3 linked regions of the Macaca mulatta genome follow. The protein of the gene in region 2 interacts with the protein of the main gene of each other region in a pairwise test. Links are inferred from orthologs where the notes say so. Each region holds a gene or a part of one and is shown on either strand. Other genes may lie near its edges. The genes, in order: GCM2, FHL3 and SLC25A46.

Region 1 (3,752 bases), on a different chromosome or scaffold from region 2:
AACTGGACCTTAGTGGCGACCATTTGAGAGTGATTTTAATCAGAAACCCTGACGACTAACTGGACCTTTCAGGAGGGGAGAACTTCGGGAGAAAGGAGGCTGGGAATGAACACATCACTTTCTTCTGCTAGGACCCTTCAGCTTTGCTTGGGAGGAGGACCCAAGCTTGAAGATAAGGGAGGAAAAAATCGCGAGGAACTGCTCAAAGTTGTCCTTTCTCCCCAACAGAGTTCGCTGGTCCGCTGCTATTGGCCGGCTTCTGTGACAGACCGGGATACTTTTTCTTTTTCTTTTCTTTTCTTCTTTTTTCTTTTCTTTCCTTTTCTTTTTTTTTCTTTTTTCTTTTTTCCTTCCTTCTTTCCTTCCTTCCTTCCTTCCTTCCTTCCTTCCTTCCTTCCTTCCCTCCCTCCCTCCCCCCTGCCTCCCTCCCTCCTCTCTCTCTCTCTCTCTCTCTCTCTCTCTTTCTTTCACTTTTCTTTTTTTTGAGACAGGGCCTCGTTCTGTCGCCCAGGCGGGAGTGCATCGGCGCTATCTCAGGTCACTACAACCACTGCCTCCTGGATTCAAGCGATCCTCCCGCCTCAGCCTCCCTAGTAGCTGGGACTACAGGCACACGCCACCATGCCCAGCTTTTTAAAATTATTATTATTATTATTTTGGAAGAGACAGGGTTTCTCCATGTTGCCCAGGCTGGTCTTGCACTCCTGGGCTCAAGCGATACTCCCGTCTCGGCCTCCCAAAGTGCTGGGATTACAGGCATGAGCCACAGCGCCCAGCCGCGGGATCGACTTTTCTAAGCAAGCTTCACTGTGCCTTTGGCTGGGGAAGTAAAAGGACAGGGAGTGTGGACCACCCTTAGCTTCCTGAGGTTGTTTCGCTCTTCCTTTATCCGCCTTTTGCCAACCGAAGGCACTAATCCTGCAAGAGGCGTTGGCATGGGCGCCCTCCCGGCAGAGTCCCGCGCAGCACCCGTCCGTGTGCCGAGCGCGGGCTTTGCGGTGCCGAGGTCTAGGGCGCGTCGCTCCCCAGGTCTGGAGGGTCATGGGTTCGGTTCATCCTCCTCTATCAAGGGAATTCGCCGTGAGGAGTTGGCTCCTCTTCTCTGGCTAGGGCTGGGAATGGAAGCGTGCAGCTGCAAAACAAGGGCGCGGGGAATAAATTCCAGAAACCCTTTTCCCTGGCCGCCCAGAATCCGGCCCTGGCGTAGTCAGAGTGACTTTAGTCACTTCAATCGATTTTTTTTTTTAACTGAGGGTCTCCAAGTGCCATAGTAGCCCTGGGCGAGACGGCTGCTCAGATGAGGAAGGTTTCGTCCCAGTCCCGGAAAACCCACATAGTCCTGCGCACCCCCGCACCACCGCGATTCTCTAATCCCCCAAAGCCTCCCAAGACTGTAATGGAGTAAAATTTCCACGACTATATCAGGAAAGTTTTGTTTGTTTGTTTGTTTGTTGTTGTTGTTGTTGTTGTTGTTTTTTAAGAGTTTTAAAAGAGTTGTGAGCCGGGCGCGGTGCCTGTAATCCCAGCACTCTGACAGGCTGAGGCAGGCGGATCACGAGGTAAATAGATCGAGACCATACTGGCCAACTTGGGGAAAACCCGTCTCTGCTAAATATACAAAACTAGCTGGTCGCGGTGGCGCGCGCCTGCAGTCCCAGCTACTCGGGAGGTTGAGGCGGGAGAATCGTTTGAACCTGGGAGGCGGAGGTTGCAGTGAGCTGAGATTGCACCACTGCACTCCAGCCTGGGCGACAGAGTGAGACTCCGTCTCAAAAAGAGTTCTGTTCAGGTGGGTGGCAACTGAGAGCTACCCGAACCATAACCCCTTATTTAACAGATAAGGAAGCTGAGACCCAGAGGGAGCCAAAGCAGTGGAGAAAGCTAGGAGTTCTTCGGGACTTTACCCCTCTCCCTTTTCCGTCCTTCCCCAGGCTCCTACCTACCCCAGGCTCATTTCCCCCCACCTCCTCCGGGTTCACTTTGTAGGACTCCGTTCCTGCAGGGCCAGGTCCCTCCGAAGTCCCCGGGAGCGCGAAGGCGCCTGGGCTCGCGAGCATACGCGGAGGCGTGGCGCCCGTTCACACATCCCAAACAGCCGAGCGAAGACTCCGAGACACGCACAATAGTTAGGGGAAGAGCCGGCAATGGAGGCCCAAAATGGGCTGACCCGTAACTAGGAGGCATGGGCACGGTTATTCAGCGTAGGGAGCGCGCGGACGGCAGAGGGGCCCATGCACGGTTCCCATGCTCTACTGGAATTGAGTGTTGACTCTCAGGGGACTTTGCTGGAAAGCCTCTGCTTCCAAAGCCTCCATCTAAGCCCCTTTCCGAAATCAGGGAAGCTGGATGCGTTTAGAAAAAAAAAAAAAAAAAAAAAAATAGGCCGGGTGCGGTTGCTCATGCCTGTAATCCCAGCACTTTGGGAGGCCCAGGCGAGCGGATCACCTGAGGTCAGGAGTTCAAGACCAGCTTGGTAAGGGTTTCGCATGGCGAAAACCTGTCTCTACTAAAAATACAAAAATTAGCCAGGCGTGGTGGCACGGACCTGTAATCCCAGCTACTCGAGAGGTTGAGGCAGGAGAATCGCTTGAACCTGGGAGGCGGAGGTTGCAGTGAGCCGAGATGGCGCCACTGCACTCCAGCCTGGGCAACGGAGTGAGACAAAAAAGAAGAAAAGAGAAGAAAATAATAAGGTTTTAAACTTAAAGGATACATTCCAACTTACCCTCTCCACCCCCACCCCCTGGCTGCAGTTTCCCTTTGCTTCCAGGGCTGAGTTTAACCTCCACCTCCGTTCCTGGGTCTGTGGTGGAGGTGGTGGCCGGCCCCTGGAGCGTGGGCGCTAGCGAGGTAGGCGAAACAGGGCGGAGTCCCCCGGAGATGCATCTTTATAAAGGAGGGATCAGCTGCAGACGTCGATGCTACCGTTCGGGTGGAGACCGTTCAGCACCGCGGCCGAGGACAGGGCCCCGCCCGGGTCCATAACCATTGTCCCCAACTTCCAGATTTCTAAACAATCTCTCTCTCTTTCTCTCTGCCCCTCCCCTTCACACACATACCCCACTTTCTTCTTTAAAGAGTAGGAAAAAAATCACCTGGCGCACCTCTCCTTTTTTCTTCTATTTTTCAGAACCCTGGGCGGAAAGCGCGAGCGAGTTGGGCAGATGCCGGCAGCCGCGGTGCAGGATACGGTCGGCGTGTGCTCATACGGGATGCAGCTCAGCTGGGACATCAACGATCCACAGATGCCTCAGGTAAGTGAACCGGGTGTGTGCGGGCACGCGGGGCGCTGTCTATCCGAAGGAGGGAGGGAGAATGGCATTCAAGTTCTTGAAGAGTCTGCGGACGGACCATGACGTGGTCACACACACACACACACGCACACACACGCAAAATTTCTGGGTTTCTGAGGCCCCCTCAAATGTAGAAAGAGAACTGGACTCCACAAAAGGCTGAATTGGGTTTAGAAATGTGTCTTCTCGGCCGGGCGCGGTGGCTCACGCCTGTAATCCCAGCACTTTGGGAGGTCGAGGCGGGCGGATCACCTGAGATCGGGAGTTCAAGACCAGCCTGACCAACATGGAGAAACCCCGTCTCTACTAAAAATGCAAAATTATCTGGGCGTGGTGGAGCATGCCTATAGTCCCAGCTACTCGGGAGGCTGAGGCGGGAGAATCGCTTGAACCCGGGAGACGGAGGTTACTGTGAGTCAAGACCACCCCATTGCACTCCAGCCTAGGCAACAAGAGCAA
Region 2 (3,214 bases):
CGTGGCGTGTGCAGCTGCATCCTTGCCTTTTTTGGCAAAAAACGTGCGGTCGCGAGCCGATCCCGGGCCGCCCTCGTTAATCCTTGGGAAGAGGGGGAAGGGGGCTGAGAGGGTCTAGGCCCAGACTGGGGATCGGAACCGGGTCCTTGCTCTGCGGGCTTTGGGAAGGGCTGTTGGCGGAGGGGACTATTGGTACCAGCCAATTAAGGCACCCCATCGCCACCCTCGCTTTCGTCTGGAACCTCCCCCAAACCCCTCCCTTCCCTGCATGGAGGAAAAAGCCCTCTGCCAGCAGGGAGGCAGGCCGAGCTCCAGAGGGACGGTAGCCGTGGCGGGGATCCCCTTCATGGGGAGAGACTTCCCACCCCGTGGCCCGGCCCCCCTCCACCCCGCCCTGCAAGGACGAGGTCTAGAAGAGATTCTGAGCCTCCCAGTCTGCAAAAACCCTTCCTTCCCCTTTATACCCTGCGCGCGCACGCGCACACACACACACACACACACACAGGCACACACGGAGGCCCCTGCTTCCTCACACCGCTTTATTGCAGAATCTGGAAGGGGGGTGAGCCAATCTCACCCCTCTGCCCATCTATGGGCAAAATGGAGCTGAAATAAAATGAGAAGACACTCGGTGGCCACCAGCTGGGCAGCACCCTGTACCCTAGGGCCCCCTCATCGGTGGGCCCCTGATCGCTGTCCCCACAGCCTCAGCCCCGGGGGGATGGGGTGGGGCAGGTCAAGCTTGAGAACAGTCCACTTTTGAGGACTTCTCAGGCACCCATAGGAGACCTAAAACCTATAAAGAGAAGTCTAGATTTAAGGGGGCCTAAGTCCCAGAGCCCAGGTTTGGAGGGCTGGGGTCTAGAGCCCTGATTTGGGGAGAGGACTCAGTCTGGGAACCCAGACTGCAGGGGAGAGGGTGAGTTCTGGAGTCCAGGTGTGGGGAGGCAGCTTGACTCATGGAGGCTCTATAAGAGCCCAGGTTTGGGGGCCTGGGTCAGGGAGTACCAGTTTGGGGATGCTGGCGTGGAGAAACAATCCTGGAGCCCAGAGGGCGACCCATTTTTTTTGGTTGGGGGGTGGGGCTAAGTCCCAGAGGTGGTTTAGAAAAGGAGCTACAGTCCTGGGCCCGTGGTATGGGAAAGCCTGGGTCCAGGAGCCTGGCTCAGGGCCCTGCCTGGCTACAGCCCTGGCAGAGCACTTGGTCTCCATCCGGCACGAAGCCTTGGCCCACCAGGGAGGTAGAGCAGCGGGCGCAGGAGAAGCAGTTGTGGTGCCAGTGTCGGTCTTCAAAGGACACATACTTGCCTCCACCGAGTCCTGGAGGGAGGCTGGAAGTTAGCTCTGCAGATCTAGGGATGGTCCGGCCCTCAACTTCACCCAATACCACATCCCATTCCCTTGCCTGCACCCTACCCACTCCGTTCTTTGACCCTTGTCCCACCTACGATGGGGCGCTTGCAGCTGCTGCACTTAGGTGCAAAGAGTTCTCCAAAACAGGCCACACAGTAGGGATCTTCATCCCGGGAGGTGAACTGCTGCCCTGCCAGGGGCGTCTGGCAGCCGGTACAGACCAGACATTCTCGATGCCAGGGCTGATCACGGTATGTCACTCCACCCTGTGTCAGCGTCTGTGGGGGCAGCATTCATTAGTAGGTATGAGTGGGGATTCCCACCCCACGACAGGCCTTACTCACCCCCACCTGGCTGGCCCAGCCCCCACCTTGCTGCAGCGGGCGCAGCGAGGAGCAAACTTGTTCTCATAGCAGGGCACGCAGTAGTGAGCACCCTTGTCGGGCACAAAGGAACGGGAGCCCAGCGGCTGCTCACAGCCACTGCACAGGAAGCAGTGCTCATGCCATGTCTGGCCTCCGTACTCCAGCTTCCGGGACCCTGTGGGGAACAGGGGTCCCATTTAGAGGCTGTGTCCCATGCTCCTGAGGGCCACCCTCTGTAACTTCCCCGGGAGTCTCCACTCCTCTCGCAGCCTGAGCAGGGTGGTGTCCAGTGCACATGCAGCAAGAACCCCCCTGCCCCATGTACATTACACATGCTAACCTCTCCCCAGACACCGGACATGATGACCCAGCTAGACACGAGGATTTTGGCATATGTTAAGCCCCCATATGTCCCAGAAATGACAATTTCAGCACATATCGAGCCTCCATGTAACAGTCATGAAGTCTCACTATGAGCTAAGCCCTCATATAACAGATGTGATGATTTCAGCACTCACACGGGACCCCACATGTACCAGGCAAGTAAGTATATGCCCTAATGCCCTCGGCATGACAGGTTCAGTACATGCTAAGCCCTCGCATCTCCTTGGCACACCATTCTCCATAGGTACTGAGTCCCAACATTTCTATTAGGCATGCAGGTCCCCACACATGTTAAGCCCTCTGTTTACCTGCCTCTGCACACACTAAGACCCAATGCAATAAGCACGACAGTCTCAGCACACCTCTAGTTCCTACATGTACTAAACATGCAGATACTCACACATGCTAAGCCCCCAAGTATGTATCACATGTGTCAATCTGCCTGCACATAGTAACCCCCAGTATACCAGGCAAACAGATCCTGCATATACTAAATTTCCAGAAACATGCTGTGTGTGCAGGTCTTTACACAGACGAAGTCTCCATGTATCAGACAGACACATGCAAAGACCCTATGCAGATGCCAGGCATGCCAGTTCTCACACAAGATGAGCCCCTGAGGACATACCAGGCATGACAGTTTCCCCACAGGCGGAGCACTGCGAGGAAAACGCACTGCAGTAGCAGTCATTGCAGAGCAGCTCACTGTCCTGGCAGGTGAAGGGTTCATCGGCTAGTGAGCGCTGGCAGCGGCAGCAGCGGAAGCAGCCCTCGTGGAAATGGCGGTCTTCATAGAACAGCTCCTGTGGCGAACACAGCGGGGGCACTGGCACCCAGGCCTGGTGGATCCATCCTTTGCCCCCTTCCACTGGTCACCACCCACCTCCTGCCTGGCCTGGCCCTCTCCTTACCCTCGAGTCATGCCCGATAAGCTGCTGGCACTCGGCGCAGGTGTTGGCAAAGGTATTGTCATAGCAGGGCACACAGTAGGGGCCGCTGTCTGTCTGGATGTACTTGCGTCCATACAGGGACTCGCTGCATTTTGCACAGTCAAATGACTCGCTCATCGTGGCAAGGAGAGAGAACCCTGTTAGGAGCACAAGGTGGAACTG
Region 3 (3,652 bases), on a different chromosome or scaffold from region 2:
CTCTCCTAAAAAAATAGAAAAAATTAGCTGGGCGTGGTGGCGGGCGCCTGTAGTTCCAGCTACTTGGGAGGCTGAGGCAGGAGAATGGCGTGAACCCGGGAGGCGGAGGTTGCAGTGAGCTGAGATCGCGCCACTGCACTCCTACCTGGGCAACAAAGCGAGACTCTGTCTCAAACAAACAAACAAAAAGTGGGTTATAACAGAGTTTGCAAGTGGGGTCCACTGACTCCTGAGAGTCCCATTACCCTTTCAGTGGCTTGACAAGTTCAAAATTATTTTCCTAATGATTACTAAGATATCATTTGCTTTTTTCACTGTCTTGCTATGTTCACTAATGGTACAAAAGCAATGGTAGGTAAAACTCCCAGCTCATTAGCACAAATTGAGGCAGCACCATCAAACTGTATTTTCGTACTTACAGTATTTTTCACCTCATTTACCCATAGGGAGAAAAAAGCAACCTTCATATAGGGATATCCTTGATGATGAAGTAACAAAATGTTAATTTTATGAATCCTTGACCTTTGAGTACACATCCTCTTTCTAATTAATATTTTGTGTGTTACATAAGGAAGTAAGATTGCTGTCATGAGGAAAGCACTTGTATGATAGAATTGCAAGCTGAACTAGCCACTTTTTTCACGGAACATCATTTTTACTTAGAAAAACTCATTGACAGACTATACCTATTCACCCTTAGGACAGACATATTTTAAAAAATAAACAAAGTGAGATTGTTGATTAAAACAAAAATAACTAACAGTATTTATTGTCAATGATAAGTTTGAATTTTCAAGTAAAACTCAGAATTTTGGAAAATCTATATCCATCGTCAAGAGCCGACAATACTTAAAGACTTTTCTAGTGAGATCAGTAGTATTTTTAATGAAGATGATTTTTTGATATTTTATAATCAAATGTCTTAACATCAGGAAGATATATATAACTCATTTGGTCAATATTTTTCAAATAACTTATGCACAATTATACAGAATCATGCATAAGTAAAAATATCTATTCAAGATGCAGTATAATTAAATAGATTTTTTAATGTAACAAAGTGTAAAGAGTTCACTAAAATGATTTCTGATTTCACATTGCAAATAACCTTTAAGAAACTACCACACAGTGAGTTTTGGTGCAATTGCAAAGAATACCCACAATTATCTCAAAAGAATATAATATACTCCTCTCCTGCTTTCAACTACACATGTGTACAAGACTAAACTTCCTTGCTTCTTTCAAAAACCACGTGATGCAACAGATTGACTGCAGAAGCATATGAGAGAAACTGGCTCTCTCCTATTATGTCAGGTGTTAAAAATATTTGCAAAAATGCAAAATACTTTCATAAAAATATATTATCTTACTAATAGATGTATTATTTTAATGAATTATATAGATACATTGAAATTTTCCCAATTTTAATTTCTGAAATGGTAAATATCAGCAGATATGACCAAAATAAACCAAAGTTATTTAGGATCCTCAATATTTTTTTAAGACTTTAAAGAGGTTTTGAGACCAAAAAGTTCGGAACATTTCACATGAAGTAACAATTACCTGGTTTCATGTCATTTATGTAAGTTCTGCCCTTCATATTAGGGTCAGAAGTATTGCTTCAAAAGATCAAAGAAATGACATTTACCTGACATTGGCGGCGTAGAACAATGCAAGGATGTGCCAATACATTTTCTGTAAAGAGACTATATAAAAATAATTTATATATATGTATGTCTACATAGAGACAAATTAAATTTACAACATGTATCTTTCTGAAATTATTCTTGCCTGAAGAATCATGCATTACTTTGTTTTCCATTCTTAAAAAAATTAAACAGATCTTTAAAAATGTCTAGAAATGTTTGCAAATGATTCTACCCATAACAAAATTCAATATGAAATGAATGAAAACCAGATCTGCATACTAGTAAATAAGGGAAACAATACATAATACATAATAGTAATGTCTGTAGTGTAAGATGAAACTAGATCTCTGTTTGTTTAATGTGGGAAATGACACATCAGTTAAATGGCATTTAATGCTGCAAATTATTTCGTTCAGAAAATATCCAATGAACAACATGCCTATCAGCAGAGCCATTTGATCTTCATGAACCCCATTCTAAAAATGTTGGTTTTGATGCACTTCAATTATAAGGTTTAAGTATAAATTTAAGTATAAACCTTAAATTATAAGATTCTTAATGACCATGTTAATTGACTAATATTTATGTATCAAATTTCTGATTTGAGAATGTGCCCCACAAAACAATTACAGCTGTGGATTTCAGGTCTCAGAGTGACATATAAATACACGTACACACATATTTATATGTAATAATAGTCTATCAAATGAATCAAAGCTTTAAGTATAAATATTGAAGCAAAAAACAACTCCAGCAGAATGGAAAACACAGATTTTATTTATATTGACATTAACACCCTCGGGTTCAATAATGCAAATAAGGTATTTTTCTTGGTTAAAATGTTTAAAATGATAGTGATCATTATGGCATGAAATGTAAGCTTTGTGCAATTCCAATATTTTTGAAAATGGTTTTCACTAAGGATCACAATAATCAAGACTAAAGGCTTTTCTTAAAATGATCGTTAGATATTAAAAAAAAAAAATAAAGTAATGCTATCACCAAACGCTGATTATGAACACAATCTAGATGCTATGCTGCTAAATATCTTATAAGCATTAGAATGTTTAGAGAGAAGCCTCCATGCACAATTACTTTTTTGATGGGAGAGAGACAGATTACATTTCATTTTATTCTTTGGATAGACCCATGAAAAGAATGAAAACCAGATCTGCAAACAGGTAAGTAAGGGAAACAATACATAATATTAATATCTACAGTATAAAATTAAACTAGATCTCTATATGTTTGACGTGGGAAATGCCATGTCAATTACATGGCATCATTAAATGCCATGTAATTTTTATTTCTTTCAGAAAATGTCCTATGAACAAAGTTCCTGTCAGCAGAGTCATTTGATCTTCATGAACCCCATTCTAAATTACTTTTTTTGATGGGTGAGAGATAAGATTACACTTCATTTTATTCTTTGGACAGACCCATGAAAACAATTACAATACTCATTACAAAATTACTTTGTGTTTATAAAATTGGATGACTAGTCTATCCTTACTGGAAAAACTATCAAATTATATGTTTTAAATAATGATCATGTTTTTTTTTCTGCAAAATATTATTCCAAATTTAAGCTGCTGCTTCAAAGAAACAACCTAAAGGAAGCAATAATAATCATTTAATATTATAAATTAAAGAAAAACTCTAAATTAAATAAATAAAAGCTTTAAACGTCTTTAGATAAAACATTACCTTGCAAGTCCAATACCAAATCCAGCAAATCTATTCAGCTGTTCTAAAGTAAAAAAAAAAAAAAAAGAAAAAAATAAGATTACTGATAACCAATATTTAGGTTTAGTCTAAAAACAATTTTTAAACATTTATTTTATTAACCTGCTGTTCATTTAAACTTCAAAGTCAAATTCTGATGGGGCCAGGGAAATAATTTAAATGAATGAAGGACTCTGCTGGGGTTTGTGGCAAATTGCAAGGTGTACAGCCTTTAAAGCACAATTACTCTTTAACTCCAATTCATTGTTGCCACATGA

What was found.
Region 1: the proteins of FHL3 (region 2) and GCM2 interact in binary tests that used the Homo sapiens proteins (3 or more experiments, as listed by UniProt). The link is inferred for Macaca mulatta from reciprocal best matches to the Homo sapiens genes FHL3 and GCM2.
Region 3: the proteins of FHL3 (region 2) and SLC25A46 interact in binary tests that used the Homo sapiens proteins (3 or more experiments, as listed by UniProt). The two-hybrid records come from large-scale screens. The link is inferred for Macaca mulatta from reciprocal best matches to the Homo sapiens genes FHL3 and SLC25A46.

What each region holds. Positions count from the first base shown.
Region 1 is NC_133409.1:172,240,950-172,244,701, forward strand, and holds the start of GCM2 (chorion-specific transcription factor GCMb), read left to right. Parts: upstream 1-935; coding exon 936-1,080; intron 1,081-1,931; coding exon 1,932-2,169; intron 2,170-3,130; coding exon 3,131-3,254; intron 3,255-3,752. UniProt on the Homo sapiens protein: Transcription factor that binds specific sequences on gene promoters and activate their transcription. Through the regulation of gene transcription, may play a role in parathyroid gland development.
Region 2 is NC_133406.1:202,795,985-202,799,198, reverse strand, and holds the end of FHL3 (four and a half LIM domains protein 3), read right to left. Parts: intron 3,190-3,214; coding exon of another isoform or gene 3,170-3,189; coding exon 3,014-3,169; intron 2,906-3,013; coding exon 2,731-2,905; intron 1,894-2,730; coding exon 1,724-1,893; intron 1,632-1,723; coding exon 1,445-1,631; intron 1,321-1,444; coding exon 1,166-1,320; 3' UTR 643-1,165; downstream 1-642. UniProt on the Homo sapiens protein: Recruited by SOX15 to FOXK1 promoters where it acts as a transcriptional coactivator of FOXK1.
Region 3 is NC_133411.1:119,560,294-119,563,945, reverse strand, and holds part of SLC25A46 (mitochondrial outer membrane protein SLC25A46), read right to left. Parts: intron 3,400-3,652; coding exon 3,357-3,399; intron 1,707-3,356; coding exon 1,649-1,706; intron 1-1,648. UniProt on the Homo sapiens protein: Transmembrane protein of the mitochondrial outer membrane that controls mitochondrial organization.